Astyanax mexicanus: one gene and its partner. The protein of the gene in region 2 purifies or fractionates together with the protein of the main gene of each other region. This does not show direct contact. Links are inferred from orthologs where the notes say so. Each region holds a gene or a part of one and is shown on either strand. Other genes may lie near its edges.

Evidence for each region. Proteins that work in one complex are often made in the same cells at the same time.
Region 1: the proteins of exosc10 (region 2) and exosc5 purify together in Homo sapiens (co-immunoprecipitation; 8 studies listed by BioGRID and IntAct, with this or other methods). This does not show direct contact. The link is inferred for Astyanax mexicanus from reciprocal best matches to the Homo sapiens genes EXOSC10 and EXOSC5.

What each region holds. Positions count from the first base shown.
Region 1 is NC_064416.1:2,328,464-2,335,900, forward strand, and holds the start of exosc5 (exosome complex component RRP46), read right to left. Parts: upstream 3,048-7,437; 5' UTR 2,968-3,047; coding exon 2,868-2,967; intron 1,993-2,867; coding exon 1,879-1,992; intron 1,183-1,878; coding exon 1,061-1,182; intron 70-1,060; exon of another isoform or gene 1-69. Other genes in the region: bckdha (2-oxoisovalerate dehydrogenase subunit alpha, mitochondrial), read left to right, coding at 4,173-4,286. UniProt on the Homo sapiens protein: Non-catalytic component of the RNA exosome complex which has 3'->5' exoribonuclease activity and participates in a multitude of cellular RNA processing and degradation events.
Region 2 is NC_064419.1:17,930,505-17,937,989, reverse strand, and holds the start of exosc10 (exosome component 10), read right to left. Parts: upstream 3,049-7,485; 5' UTR 2,984-3,048; coding exon 2,861-2,983; intron 2,646-2,860; coding exon 2,509-2,645; intron 391-2,508; coding exon 267-390; intron 1-266. Other genes in the region: serine/threonine-protein kinase mTOR, read right to left, coding at 6,303-6,318, 6,492-6,597. UniProt on the Homo sapiens protein: Catalytic component of the RNA exosome complex which has 3'->5' exoribonuclease activity and participates in a multitude of cellular RNA processing and degradation events.

The sequences.
Region 1 (7,437 bases), on a different chromosome or scaffold from region 2:
GTACCACTGAGCTTTTTAAACTGTACCACTGAGCTTTTTAAACTGTACCGCGGAGCTTTTTAACTGTACTGCGGAGCTTTTTAACTGTACCGCGGAGCTTTTTTAAACTGAGCTGAGCTTTTTAACTGAGCTTTTTAACTGTACTGCGGAGCTTTTTAACTGTACCGCGGAGCTTTTTTAAACTGAGCTGAGCTTTTTAACTGAGCTTTTTAACTGTACCGCGGAGCTTTTAAACTACTGTTTTTTTCCCCCTGCGAGACAGGTTTAAGCTTGACGAGATCTCGTCACACCCCTAGAAAAAACATGGAAAACTGGTGAACCTTCCCAGGAGTGACCGGCCGACCGAACAAAATTACTCCAAAAGGGCATGAACAACTCATCCATGAGATCCCAAAAGAACCCAGAACAACATTTATCAATTAACATCATGATGCTCTTTAGGAAAAATTGTTTTTTCCTTTTTAAAATTATGGGTAAATATTATATTTTGACTGAAGAGACAAAAGTGGAACTTTTTGGAAGGTGTGTGTCCCGTTACATCTGGCATAAAACTATAATAAACACATAATTTCAGCAATAAAAGAACATTGCTCTCACTGAACGTAAAATGTAAAACATGGTGGTGGTAGTGTGTGCGTTATGATGGTCTGGAGCTGCCGGACTTTAACTTGCTGTAATAGATGGAAGCAGGAGTTCTGCTGTTTTTACCAGAAAATCCTGAAGGAGAATCAGAATCCGTCCATCTGTTCCTTACTGACCTCAAGCTCAGGAGTACTTGGGTTCTGCAGCAGGACAATGACCCAAAGCACACAAACAAAAAGTTCACCTCTGAATGGATTAAAAATAAATAAAAACTAAATGAAGGTTTAGGAGGGTCTAGTTAAAGTCTGATTGAGATGCTGTGGATGATCTTAAACAGTTTTAGACGTTTATGCTGGAAAATCCTCCAATGTGTCTGAATTAAAACTGTAATTCTGTAAAGAAGAGTGGAACTAAATTCCTCCAGAGATGAGAAAGACTCGTTACTAGTTATAAACAGGTGTGGATTTATAAAGGATACAGAGCCGTCGTCGTGCACCACCTGGAGGATGAGTGCGAGGGAGGACCGAGGATGAAGAGTGGACAGCAGGACAGCCTCACACGTTTCCCTCACACACTGCTCCCTCGCACGCTCCCGCACACCTACAGAACCGGGTTACAGAACCGGATTAGTGAACGTTCATCACACGCACAGATTTTCACTATTACATGACTACCACCCTGTGGTGAGAGGGGGTAACGCAACCAACAACAGGCTTTTAATCTAGAGGAATATTAAAGCATGATTAGTGTTATAAATAAATTAATATGTTCACTGTATTGTAATGAGAATTACATTAATTAAATAGGGCTCTAACAATAAATATTACTTTAACCTACTAGTAGACTCATGCTGCATTATTGTGCTCAGTTTTTCAGACATCAGGTATGTTTTGCACTTAGTTATACAATAAAATTCCAAAACAGGAGTGTGCACAATATATTAATGTGAACTAAAATGACAAAAACTGTTTATTAAATTTTTTACGTTTTACAGTTTTCTGTTTTACTTAATTTTATTGAAGCATTTTGAGCTGCGTTTTTTTTTGATGATATACAAGCAAAGTTTATTATATTATATATTATATTATAACTATTCCATTTTTTAATGCTTAATGATGACGGCTCTGCGCATTGACTAAATATTATATAATGCACAGAACATTTTAGAAGGTCCATTTTACATCAAATAAATAACTAGTTGTGAGTACAATTATGTTGTGCATTTTGGCAATATAGTGTATTATTAATTAATAAATTATTTTTTTATTTAGTATCTCTGAACACAGAGCTACTTACTTGACATGCCCACTTTAGGCTGGACAACCACCTCCAGAGTCGCTCTGTCATAGATCTCCTTATTCACTTTCACTTCAGCAGGTCCATAAACTCCTGCCAACACACTGGTGTCCCCTGTAAACACATATACCATTACAGAAACACACACACACACACACACACAAACACAAGATCAATACAGAACCCAGAAAAATCCTCCAGAAACCTGCAGAGTAGAGCCCCTTATAGAGTTCTGTAATGTCCAATAGAAACCTTCTAAATCCCTATGGATGCCCTGTAGAGTTCTGTAGTGCCCTATAGAAACCAAATAGAGCTTTGTAGTGCCCTATAGAAACCCTGTAGATTCATATGGAACCCCTGTAGAGCTCTGTGGTTGTCTATAAAAACCATATAGAGCTTTGTAGAGCCGTATTTAACCAATATAGAACTCTGCAGTGCCATATAGACCCAAGTTCTGTAGAGACGTTCAAAACACTGTAGAGTCCTGTGGAGGCCTATAGAAACCCTATAGAGCTCTGTAGTGCCCTACAGAAACCCTCTCTTTTATTAACTGTTATTTTAAGATTATTAAATGTAGTTATTATTTAATTTATCATCATGTTAATCCCTGTATTTGTGAATGCTACATTGAAAATGAGGGTTGCCCTTAATGTACTTCTGAGTGAAAATAACGGTTGATTGCCTAAATGACTAATTGATATATTGTCATGTGGACCCTATAGAACTCGTAGAGCTCGGCAGTGCCCTATAGAAATCGTGCAGAACACTGTAGAGTCATGTGCAGGCCTATAGAACACTAGAGTCCTTTGGAGCACTATATAACCCTATATAGCCATATAGAAACTCTGTAGATACCTACAGAACAGGGTAGAGTTCTGTGGAGCCCTATATAGTCAATATAGAGTCTTGTAAACAAGTGCACAACCCAGAGGAACCCATTTAGAACCCCATAGAACCCAATAGAACAGAGACAGTATATAGATAAATACCCTGTAGGAAGGTCGCTGATCCGTCCGGTTTGGACAGCAGGTTCTGTTCGCTCCCGTATTCCCTCAGAACCGAACCCGAACCCGTCTCTATCTGATCCATCACTGCCGAACCCTGCACCCCGCGATACTGCAGCACGCCGGCCCGTCGCCCGCTCACAGCGTCACTGTTTACCGCGCACTCTGATGACGCTTTAATAAGATAAAAGTCCTTAATCTACCGGTAAAAACAGTAAATCAGTTTACACTAGTTAAGCTAAAATATTCTGTATTTTATTAGGCATTTTATTTACAACGAATTTTCGTTTAAATAAGAAAGAGGATTGATTTGATTTGCAATAGTGTTTTGTAATTGAATTATTTTCTTAAAAATACTATAATACTCTAATATAGTATTTTTCCAAGGAACAAATATATAAATGTAAGTTAAATAAAACAGAAGGCGGTCATTTATTCATTATTTAACCATGCTATTTATATTTTATTAATAAAGTAATTTAAAATAATTCTTAATTTAATTAAAGGACACCGTTTTTTTTACAATCTTATGTACATGCTTCCTCTGTTATACATTTTTCTTGTATTTGGTTTTCCCATGTTTCCTAATTTATTTTATTATATGCTGATGTCATTTTTTTATTTGCAGCTTTAACCTTTATTATAAATAAATAAATAATAATAATAATAATAATAATAATAATAATAGTTTAATAATAAAAGTTTTAATAGAAACTGTTTAGTTATTTATACACCGTCACATATAACTTTTTACATGCTTCCGCTATTACACATTTTTCTTGCATTTTGTTGTTGTTTTTTAATTATAATAATTAATAATAATAATAATAACAATAATAATAATAACAATTATTATGATTATGATTATGATTATTATTATGATTATGATGATGATGATTATTATTATTATTATTATTATTATTATTATTATTATTATTAATAAATGAAACATTAGTTACATTATTATCATAAACAATATTGTTTTCTCATTTTAATTATTAATTAGCAATTTTATCTTTTTTTAATTTAGCTACATAATTTACTATATATATATTCTTTTTTGTTGTTTTTTAAGTGTGTTATTTCTTAGGGAATTAATGAATTTATAAGAGATGTGAAGAAATATTGAAAGTGAAATATTAGTTGTATTAAAATGCTGATTTTGTAATTGTGTGTATATATAATCAGTAATTTCTCAGTTATATTCATAGTGTATATACAGTGCGGTGTCTCCGCCGCTGCAGCAGGAGGCGCTGTGAGCGCGGTGCGGGAGGACAGTAAGGCTGAAACATGGCGGCGGTGCGGAGGCTGCAGAAATGGGTCGGACTCGGTTTTCACGCGTTTCGCCAAAATTCAGCATTAAACTCGGTCAGAGCCCTGCAGCGGAGAGCCTTCCGCACCCAGGTAACCTCACCTGCTCACCCGCACAGCGCGCGCTGCTCACCTGTACAGGTGTTCCTGTGGGTCTGATCTGAGCTGCAGCTTAAACAGTAGCATGTAATGCCCACCTGCAGATATATATTTAATATATAACCCTCAGCTAGAGCTTTATACTGTAATAAAGATATATAGCAGCACGTGAGGGGTTATTATCAGATGCAATATTATTATACAGGTGAATCTGATACAGGTAAACCAGCTGCTCACCTGGACTAAAAAAACAACACTGGCTTATATTGTTTAAAACACACATATAATACAAGCATATAAGCTACAGTATAGATAGATAAATACAGCTGTCCACAGACTCTGTAACGCTGTGGTTCTATATAACTTTATTTTAATATTTAATATATATGTTTTAATGTAACTTATATATTTAATAGTGTGTATGGTTGTGTGAAGCGTTAATAAACCGCATATTCAGCTGTTGTTAATAAGTTTAGTTATTAATAACTGGTTTATGCTGCTGATTTTGAGGTTAATATGAAGTTATTATATTATATTATATATTTTTTTACTGAAACCGGTCTATTTGTTTTGGCTGCGAGAACCTAGCCACCGCGCATGCGCATAACCTTCACGGCGCTGCGCCGTTTCCTTCGCTCTGATTGGTCCGCTCCGGGGGTGTGGAATATAACACGCTTCAAGGCGGGATATATATGTATATATATATGTATATATATATATACATATATATATATATATATATATATATATATGTATATATATATATATATATATATATATATATGTATATATATATACATATATATATATATATATATATATATATATATTATTTGATTTTTTTTTCTGTCTAACTTCTATATTATTATTTTTAAATTGTTAGTTATTATTTTGAGAGTAAGTATTTTTTGGTATACTATATATATATGGTATACAGGTGCTGGTCAACGAATTAGAATAATTTGAAATAGTGCAATCATGAAATTCTTTGAATGCATTTTTTGTGCAGAAAGCAAATCAGGTGTTCACCGCACCTGTCCTACTCGTTAGACTAATCACAGAACTCGTTACCTGGAAAAAAAATTGCTCAGCTGAGCTTTCCAAAAGGCCCATTTAGGCCATTTAACTGTGACACTGTTGTTTTATTGAATTAGAATAATGGAGAAACCGTTTCATTGAATTAGAATAAATGCTCGAATTTTTGTTTTCTGTGAAGAGTGTTCACTGTGCAGTATAAAGTCAGGGTTGAGTAGAATTTCTAAGTTGTAAAATCAATCATGGGTAAGCAGCGCGACCTCTCAACCGGAATAGTGGCTCAAATTCAAGCCCTTCGCCAACAAGGCTTGACCCAAACTAAAATTGCTGAGCAGCTCGGCATCAGCCAGTCTTCCGTCTGCAAAGCTCTCAAGAAAAACTGCAGCAAGCGCACCAACTGTTCCGGCGTCCGAAAAACTTCTGCTCTCGACAACAAGCAGCTGAGAAAGATCGCAGTCAGCAACCGGTTCAAGTCCACTTCCGAGCTCACCGACTTGTGGAACAAGCAGACCGGCGCTGACGTCTCCAGATCAACCACTTACCGTCGTCTGCGCGAACTCGGCTTCAAATCTCGCGTTCCAGCAGTAAAACCGATGCTGAACAAGAAACAAATGGAGAAACAGCTGAAGTGGGCCAAAGAACACGGCGAGTGGACTGCTGAAGACTGGCAGAAAGTGGTCTTCAGTGACGAATCACGCTTCTGCATCTCCTTCGGTGACCAAGGTCCTCGTGTCTGGCGTCGTGGTGGCAAAACCTACAACCACGAGTGCGTGAAAAGATCCGTCAAGTTTCCCCAGAGCGTTATGGTCTGGGGATGCATGTCCGCTCGAGGTGTAGGGAAACTCTGCTTCCTCAAGAAGACTGTCAATGCTGCCGTATATCAAGATGTTCTGGAAACGTTCCTGATTCCGACTGTTGAGGAACAGTTCGGCGAAGAAGACTTCATATTTCAACAGGATCTTGCACCGGCTCATGCGGCAAAGTCGACCAAAGATTGGTTCACTAAAAAACAGCTTGAAGTTTTGGCATGGCCGGCCAACTCGCCTGACCTCAATGTCATTGAAAACCTTTGGGCCATCGTCAAGCGGAAAATTCGCGACAGAAAGCCTACTACGCTGGACCAACTGAAGCAGAACATCGCCACTGCCTGGGAAGCTGTGAGTGCGGAAACTTGCGACAAGCTGGTCAAATCGATGCCGCGGAGACTTCAGGCAGTCATACAAGCCAAGGGGGCAGCCACAAAATACTGAGAAAGTGATGATTGTAATTATAATAAAAATTATTCTAATTCAATGAAACGGTTTCTCCATTATTCTAATTCAATAAAACAACAGTGTCACAGTTAAATGGCCTAAATGGGCCTTTTGGAAAGCTCAGCTGAGCAAATTTTTTTCCAGGTAACGAGTTCTGTGATTAGTCTAGCGAGTAGGACAGGTGCAGTGAACACCTGATTTGCTTTCTGCACAAAAAATGCATTCAAAGAATTTCATGATTGCACTATTTCAAATTATTCTAATTCGTTGACCAGCACCTGTATATAGTAATATAGTAAGTCATTTTGAGACAGTAAGTCATTATTTTGAGATAAATCATTATTTTGAAATAAATAATTATTTTGGGATAGTAAGTAAGGCATAGTAAATAATTATTTTGAGATATAGTAAGTCATTATTTTAGGATATTAAGTCGTTATTTTGAGATAATGTCTCGTTATTTTGAGATAGTAGGTAATTATTTTGAGATAGTACGTCATTTTGAGAGTTATTTTTAGATACTTTCTCATTATTTTAAGAAAGTACGTCGTTATTTTGAGATAGCAAGTTATTTTTAAACAGTAGGTTTATATTTTAACATAGTAAATTTGTTATTTTGAGATACTATCTCTTTGTCTTAAGATAGTAGGTAATTTATTTGAGATAGTAAGTCATTATTATGAGATAGTAAGTTGTTATTTTAATATAGTAAATAATTATTTTGAGAGTAAGTTTGTTATTTTGAGATACGATCAAGTCGTTATAATTCTGGTGTGAAAAAGCCCTAAAGCAGGAAACCAGTTGGTCGTTTATTATTTAGTGAAATGTCTTATTTTCTTTTGAGTATATTTAAGTGC
Region 2 (7,485 bases):
ATAAAAAGCAGCAGCAGTGTGAGCAGTGATATATTCTTAAAACTGCATTTCAATTACTTTAATGTAGCGCATCATGCAATTAAACAGGATTTTCTAAACTCCCTGTAATTAAATGTTCACTTGGTCACTTTTGGTCACTTGGTTCACTTTATCGATACGATAAAATTTATCATGGTTTATAACGTCCAGCTCTAGCTGGCACATGTAAACCGTGTACACGTGTTAAATTAAAACATGTAGTTTAGAAATTGGGCATTCATTCCTACCACTTTCTCCAGGATGACATCATTGGACTCAACGACCAGATCAAAGCGCTCCTCCAGTCCCGTCAATTTGTTTTTGTCATTTATGTGTGATCTGCAGCCGTGGTGCTTCATCAGCTGACTCATACTGAACAATGCAGAACATTATAAAACAAAATGAGACATCAAAGCAACTGAAAATCATGTAAAAGAGATGCACACATGCACGAATATTTAGGTTGAAGACCCCATATAATATTAGATTTATACCACTGACTGTATTGTCTACCGATCGATCAGTAGGCTGACTGGGACAATTCAGGTTCAGGAACCTCCGTCAGAAGGCTGCCATTACCGGCCCAGACTGTGTTTACCTTGTAAAAATTCAACCTTGTAACTGCTGAGATAACATGACCATGTGGTGCCTGTAAGGGAACCAAAAGATTTTGTCCATGGGTTCTATGTCGGTCAGTAATGAGCCCCACCAGGGACAGTGATGGGACCAGGAGGGGTTAAAGTTGGGCCCCATTTGGATATAACACTGCACGTAAATCCTAGATGGGACCAATGTGAGGTTAAAATAGGATGTAAGAATAGGGCCTATTTTTGAAGCCCAAATGGGTCCCAGAAAACATATGTACAAACCCACTCCGAACACATGTCCCCCTGTAACCTAAGGTCCAACCATGCAATGCCCACATTAGTGGTGGTCTTTTATGGTCTATTAAAAATGAAAATCTGGTTTATACAGCCTATACTGGTGTACTTATTGAAAATATCATCCCAGACAAGCTGAGCGAGGTTACCAGTGACACTTCTTTGGATTAATTATCATTAGTGAATAACAACAATGATAAATATGGTGATAAACTAAAACTAGCTGAAATGCCATTCCTGCTGCATCCAGCCTTGTAGTGTTAGCTGGATATTAGGGATATTACCGTATGTATAGCACAAATGATTACATCTGTGAACACTTCTGAAACTAGGCTTTAAAACCCACAGATCTTTTTATTTTTTACATTTCAGTTGACAGACCAAAACAACACAAACAGACTCTCCAACCAGTAAAGGTAAACTGCTCTCATCAAGAAATGTGTGCTTATAGCACTGCAGGTTTCACTGTTTTTAAAAATATCTGAATGTGTGAGAACAGGCCTGAACCAATACCTTGTCACTGGGGACTATTATTATTTGTCACAGAAAATTTTGCACATATCTGTTACATTTGTTTAATGATATTTGATTTCAAAAACAGGTTTTAGAGCCAAAATGCTCTCAGCACTGTGATGAAACTGTGTCTTAGGCACCATGCAGTGTATTTAGAACCATTTGGTGCAATACAATTATATGAGAGTTTTTACAAGTTCAGAAATATGTGCCTAGAACGGCATGCTTTACTTTTATTACATTTCCTCCTATTTAACCAAGAGGCCATACATATTTTATCTGTAAAAACAACAATCCTAAAGTCTAAGTCCTAGAATTAAACAGAAATAGTGTTCAAATAATTAAATAATCAGTATCATGTTAATAGTACTGCAGAAAGTGAACTGTATGACATTCTGCTGTTTTAAGTATTGACATTTTCACTTTCAAAATTGAATCTATTATTAACTACTATTATTAACATTCTGTTCTAGAAATCAGGTCAGAACCAGTTATATGGAATGTAAAACATTTAATTATAGCGTTTAAAATCGTTGAAATGTTTGGAACAGACCTGTAAACGCAGAAAATACACAAACTCCTTTAAAAGGATATCGCCAGCAATTTTATCTCCAGCACTTCTACTTTGTGTAAATAATGTGAGATGAACGAATAAACACAGATTCACACACTGTCTTGTAGTGATGCTTTCAGGATGTTCACTATATGTCACTTAGAAACTTCATGAGTTGATGTATCCAAATTTTTTATCTAGAGCTGTATTTGGGACTACAGTTTTTTAACTTCTAAAATGTAATTATAGATAAGGACATGTTGTTTTATTTGTAATATGACTAGTCAGAATGTGTTTACAGACCTGCAGTTAGATCTGATGTTACTAATAGTAAAGTTTTTTTTTTTCATAGCTAAGAGCAGAAACGAGAGCGTTTACTAGTATAAAACAGTGCTATATGTGATTTTTGGTTTGTAATACAGTCTATAGCTTGAGTCAATACTATGGCTTTAAGTCAGAATCAGCAATAACAATATTGACAGTAACGTAAGATTAAATAAATACATGTATTTAAGTGTTTAAAGCCCGTCTTCTCTCTCTCACCAGTGTAAGAGTCGCTCTCCCTGAACAGCACAGAAATCCTGAAACCCAGGAAAACTCCTGTAGAAGTCGAACTCGTCTCCGGGCTGAGGGAGACCCCCGGCCGCCTTGGTGGCGGAGACCACCGTGCCCAGTCCGTGCTGTAAAACACCGTTAGAGTTCATTAGAGAACAGGAGCCGCTAACCCGTCAGAGATTTAACAGCGCTAAGCTAACCGGCTAATGAAAACAGAACCACGAGTCCAGCGTTGCTGCTGCTGCAGGAGGAGCTCCACGCTGCCGCTGCGTGTTTATCTCACAGCGCGGAGACCCGCGGCTCTGCTCGTTAACCCCGGGGACCGGAGCGCCTTACTCACCTTCACAAACGCGTCCACATCTCTAAACCCCGGGCAGAACTCCCCGCTCTCCGCCCCCGGGGCTCCGCTGCCGGAGTCACCGCGGGCTCCAGAGCCGCTCTCTCCGCTCACGGGCGCAGCCATCACTACCCAGTACACCCCGCGAGAGCAGCGCGGAGCGGAGCACGCGCAGAGACCCGTCTTCTTCTCGGGAGTCTCAGAGAGACCGCGCGCTCTCTACCGCCACCTGCTGAACCGCACCGCGCTGCTCCCCTGACCCTTGATTAGTTAAAACACTACACATATTTTATATGTTTTTCTTTTTTTCTCCGATTAATAATCGATAGATATAAAAAAAAAGAATCGACACATCAATTATTAAAATGATCAGCAGTGGCCAACATGAAGCTTTAGAAGCATTAACTATAAACCCTCTTTTAGAAAATAGTTCAGTATTTTAATTTCATTTTACAAATGGGACAAAAATGACCCACTTTCATTTTCTATGTATCTTCATGTATGGCTGAGGGTTTCTATTATATATCTCAGCAATAAATGAATTAAGTCATTTAGAATTTAATGGTGTTCTTCTGCTAAAATCCACATTTCTTGTTCTTTGTGCAATACTGTAGGTCTCTCTGAGTTGTATATGATGCTGCACATGAAACTCTTCCTCAACCTCCATTGTCTGCAGTAGCTAGTAAAAGAAAATATTCAGAAAAACAAGTTGATCAGGAAAAGTACCGTGTCTACATCAATCAGTGAATTGGTATTCATGGCCTTGCCCACCTTGGCTCACGACCTCCCACAGGTAGTGCTGATGCTAGGCAGCAATGCAGTCTTATCAAATAGGAGCTAACAGTGCTAGGAACAGCATGGCAGTTTGTTCCTGTGTTATTTGTGCAAATAACACATCAGTGTTATATGCTTTACCCAGTAATTCAGAGCCAAGGAACAAATGGTTAGAATTTGTCTATAGAACACCACCAGCGAAGTACAATTGAGATAGCTAGGTGTATGTTTAAAACAGTTATGTAAACTAGTTAAAATAAAAATTAAAAAATTGTTTTACTTTCTGGACCTGAACTACCCATCTCTGTGTGTAAATATAGGATTTACATAGGATCTCCGGTGGATTTCCCGTTATACAGAGATTCTAAGACTAGGTCAGTGGCTAATCTGCACTTAGCAGAGAATTACACATGTTGTAAAGTAGCATATGACATTGCAAAGACTGTTATTAGTTTTTAAAAAAAATCTTTATTTTAAAACATTTCTAACTGTTGTCTGTCTTGCGGCCAGGTGAATACTAGCCAGCCAGGTTGGATGGAGAGCGTCTGTGAACAGCAATTTTCATGTCTTGCCACAGAAGCTCAGTGGTATTAAGGTGAGGACTTTAACTGGCTTATTCCAACACATCAATATTCTTTCATTTAAATATTCCAATGGAGCTATGGCTGTATGTTTAGAATCACTATCTTGAATCTTCTTCCCAGCCTCAAATCTTTTACAGCCTCCTCCAGGTTTTCTTCCAGGACTGCCCTGTATTTAGCCCCAGCTGATGCTGCCACCACGTTTCACTTTGGGGATGGTGTGTTCAGAATGATGAGCAGTGTTACTTTTCTGCCACACAAATCACTTTATATTTAGGCCAAAAAAGTTGAACTTTTGTCTCACCTGACAACAGAACCTTCTTCCACACGTTTGCTGTTTAGACAGCACTTTTTATGTCTTTCTTTCAGCAGTGGCTTTCTTCTTGCCACTCTTCAATAAAGGCCAGATTTGTGGAGTGCACGACTTACAGTTGTCCCGTCGACAGATTCTTCCACCTCAGCTGTGTGTGTATATATATATATATATATATATATATATATATATATATATATATATATATATTACAATTCCTTTTTACAACGCTTAAAATAAAAGTTGGCACCAAAAATACTGAGCGATTTTGAAGTGTTACTTTGTTTATTTAAAAATGTCTGCGCATTAGTGGGAACAGCTCAGGACTGCAGGAAGAACAGTCTTATAACTGTACCCTCTTCTTTTGCAGCCAAGCCTTTGTAATGGGTACAGCTTGTCATTATGCTGAAAAGTGTACAGATGCATCTGGGGAAATAATCATTTCGAAGGCAGTTCTATGATCTCAATGGATTTTTCTTTGGAAAGATATGAAGAACTTTCAGGTGACCTTTTAAGGATATTTACTTTTTTAAAAGAGCATGGCAACAAAGTTTCCATTTGCATTCATTATTTAAAAATTATATCATGGTCCAACCAGCAGTAAAACTTACTTCACAAATAACCAATTTTCTTTTAAATTAATATGGGTAGTGGGCATCTGTTCACTTTAAATGTATTGTTAGACTCCTTTTATTCTTGATAAACATTTAAAAGGGACATACTATGCAAAACTCACTTTTTGCATGCTTAAGCATTTCCACTTAAGTCTTGACTACCCATATAAACACTCCATATGAAACTCCATTTCTTTTTTATTTTGGTTGAGAAACTCAGACAATAGGATTAGTCAGTAGACTTCGACTGAGGGAGGGATCTGTTCCTGCTGTCTGTGACCAGTCACCTGAGGAGGGAGATGTAAGCACTTTCAAATAATGAGTTTTGTGCTCATATCAAAGTTAAGCATGAACTAGCTTGCTCATGTTTTGCCGTTTAGATTAGCACAATGTAACACTAACAAACACGTTTTGTATAGCACATACACTTCACATAAATTCTAACTTGTGTAAAAATAGATACAACATGTCTTTTAAATATAGAAAGTCTGATGATGCCTAATTCCTTTGTTATTCATGTGACTGGTTACTTTTTTTCTCTGACTGGTTATTTACACTTTTTCACTTATTTTATTAATGCATGGTTATTATTATGTTATTTATATGATTTTACATGGACTATTTTTTAATTCACAGGATTTTTGTGCATGCATATGTAGACCTGCTCCCACGTACAATAATTCTATCCTGTGCTGCACAATGTAAAGAGACCCACCAGTTCCAAGTTGAAGAAATTACTGCATACATGAAATCAAACAATGGACACATAAAGAGCTCAAACTCTTTTGAAATCCACTCATAACAGAAATATGACACCCCAGAAAACTCACATCAGGATATTATAAGCACACAGTTACTTACAGTCACATACAAGGCAAAACAACATTCATCACAAGAGGTGTTCAAAAAAGCAACAAAAACAGGCTTTTCTAAAATTTATTGGCAAAGATGTACACCACCTTCAATCAAGTATTCTGCTCCACTTTGTGCAGAATTCTATGTATAACATTATTAAATTAATAAAAGTCAGACATACTTTAAAATGTCTTTTCATGCAACAGATCTCTTTTCTTAAGCGTATTCAGCGGACTCAAACATGGCAGCGGTAGAACATAGAGAATCAGCAAAGAACAAAGACAGCAAAACAAAGCTTGAGTGAAGCTCTACCAAAACGGACACCTGAGGAAAGAAAAAAGAAGAAACAATTATTATTGATAAAATTAATTCATTATTAATCACTGAGTGACCCATATAAATAGTACATAAGTACATAATTACATACATCATTTACTCAGGTTAAATTGGACAAATGTCCTTCTAAAACGTGTTTTTGAGGATGGACAACTACATACCATCCAATGTAACATTGGCACAGGTTCTCGTGTGATGTGGCTTGCTTGATCAGCAGCTCCACTTGGGTTGGGACATCCAGTGTCTCATCATGGGAGAAGTCCCGTCCTAGAATGAGAAATAACAAGAGGTCCAGTGTGACTGAGGTGAAGCAGCATTCTGAGGGTTTACAGCGCTCCCTGGTGGGGAAGCTTGTGAAGTTGGTGAGTGTTTCAGACAGTATCTGAATGAGTGTAGTAATAATTAAGGGTGTCAATCGATTAAGAAATTGAATCTGATTAATCACAACAAAATTCTGTGATTAAATACGAATAATCACATTTGTTTTTCTTCAGACGTACATTTTTATAGTGGATAATTAAATGTAAATAAAACGCAATTACTGTATATTAGTGGTGTCAATTAAAATAATAGTATATACTTGTATGTTTGAGGGGGGATTAAAATCAACGTAGGGTGCTGGAATAAAGAATGCATGATAAATTGGATTCTAAAATTGGTTGTGAGGATTTCTGAGTTCTAACTTGATGCTTCTAATTTGATGAGGATAAAAATCTAAGGGATGAGGAGCAGGAGGGCAGGAAAGCACCTGTCTGTGTGTGTGTTCATGTGTGTGTGTGCAGAGAGAGAAAGAGAGAGATCTCTAACCGGGTCGGAGCTGGAAGTCTGAACTGGAGTGTTACTGCTGGACACCGTAAGAGCACGCCTTTCAATCATTTAGCCAGAAAACTAATCAGTGCGTTGGGCGGGGGCGGGGCAGATTACAGCAGAAGTAGGGGTCAAACTTGGTGCCTTTATTAACTTGCCTTAAAAAAATAGTAACGCGTTACTGATTCCAAGTTAACGCTTTAATGTTGACCGCCCTAGTAATAATCCATTTGTGAGAGAGAAAAAATGGTTGTTTATATAGTGAATAAATAATGTTCATACAGGTTCTATTTATACTGGTACTGTCATTCTCTCCCATCACTATTGTCTTGTGTCTCTTGTGTAACG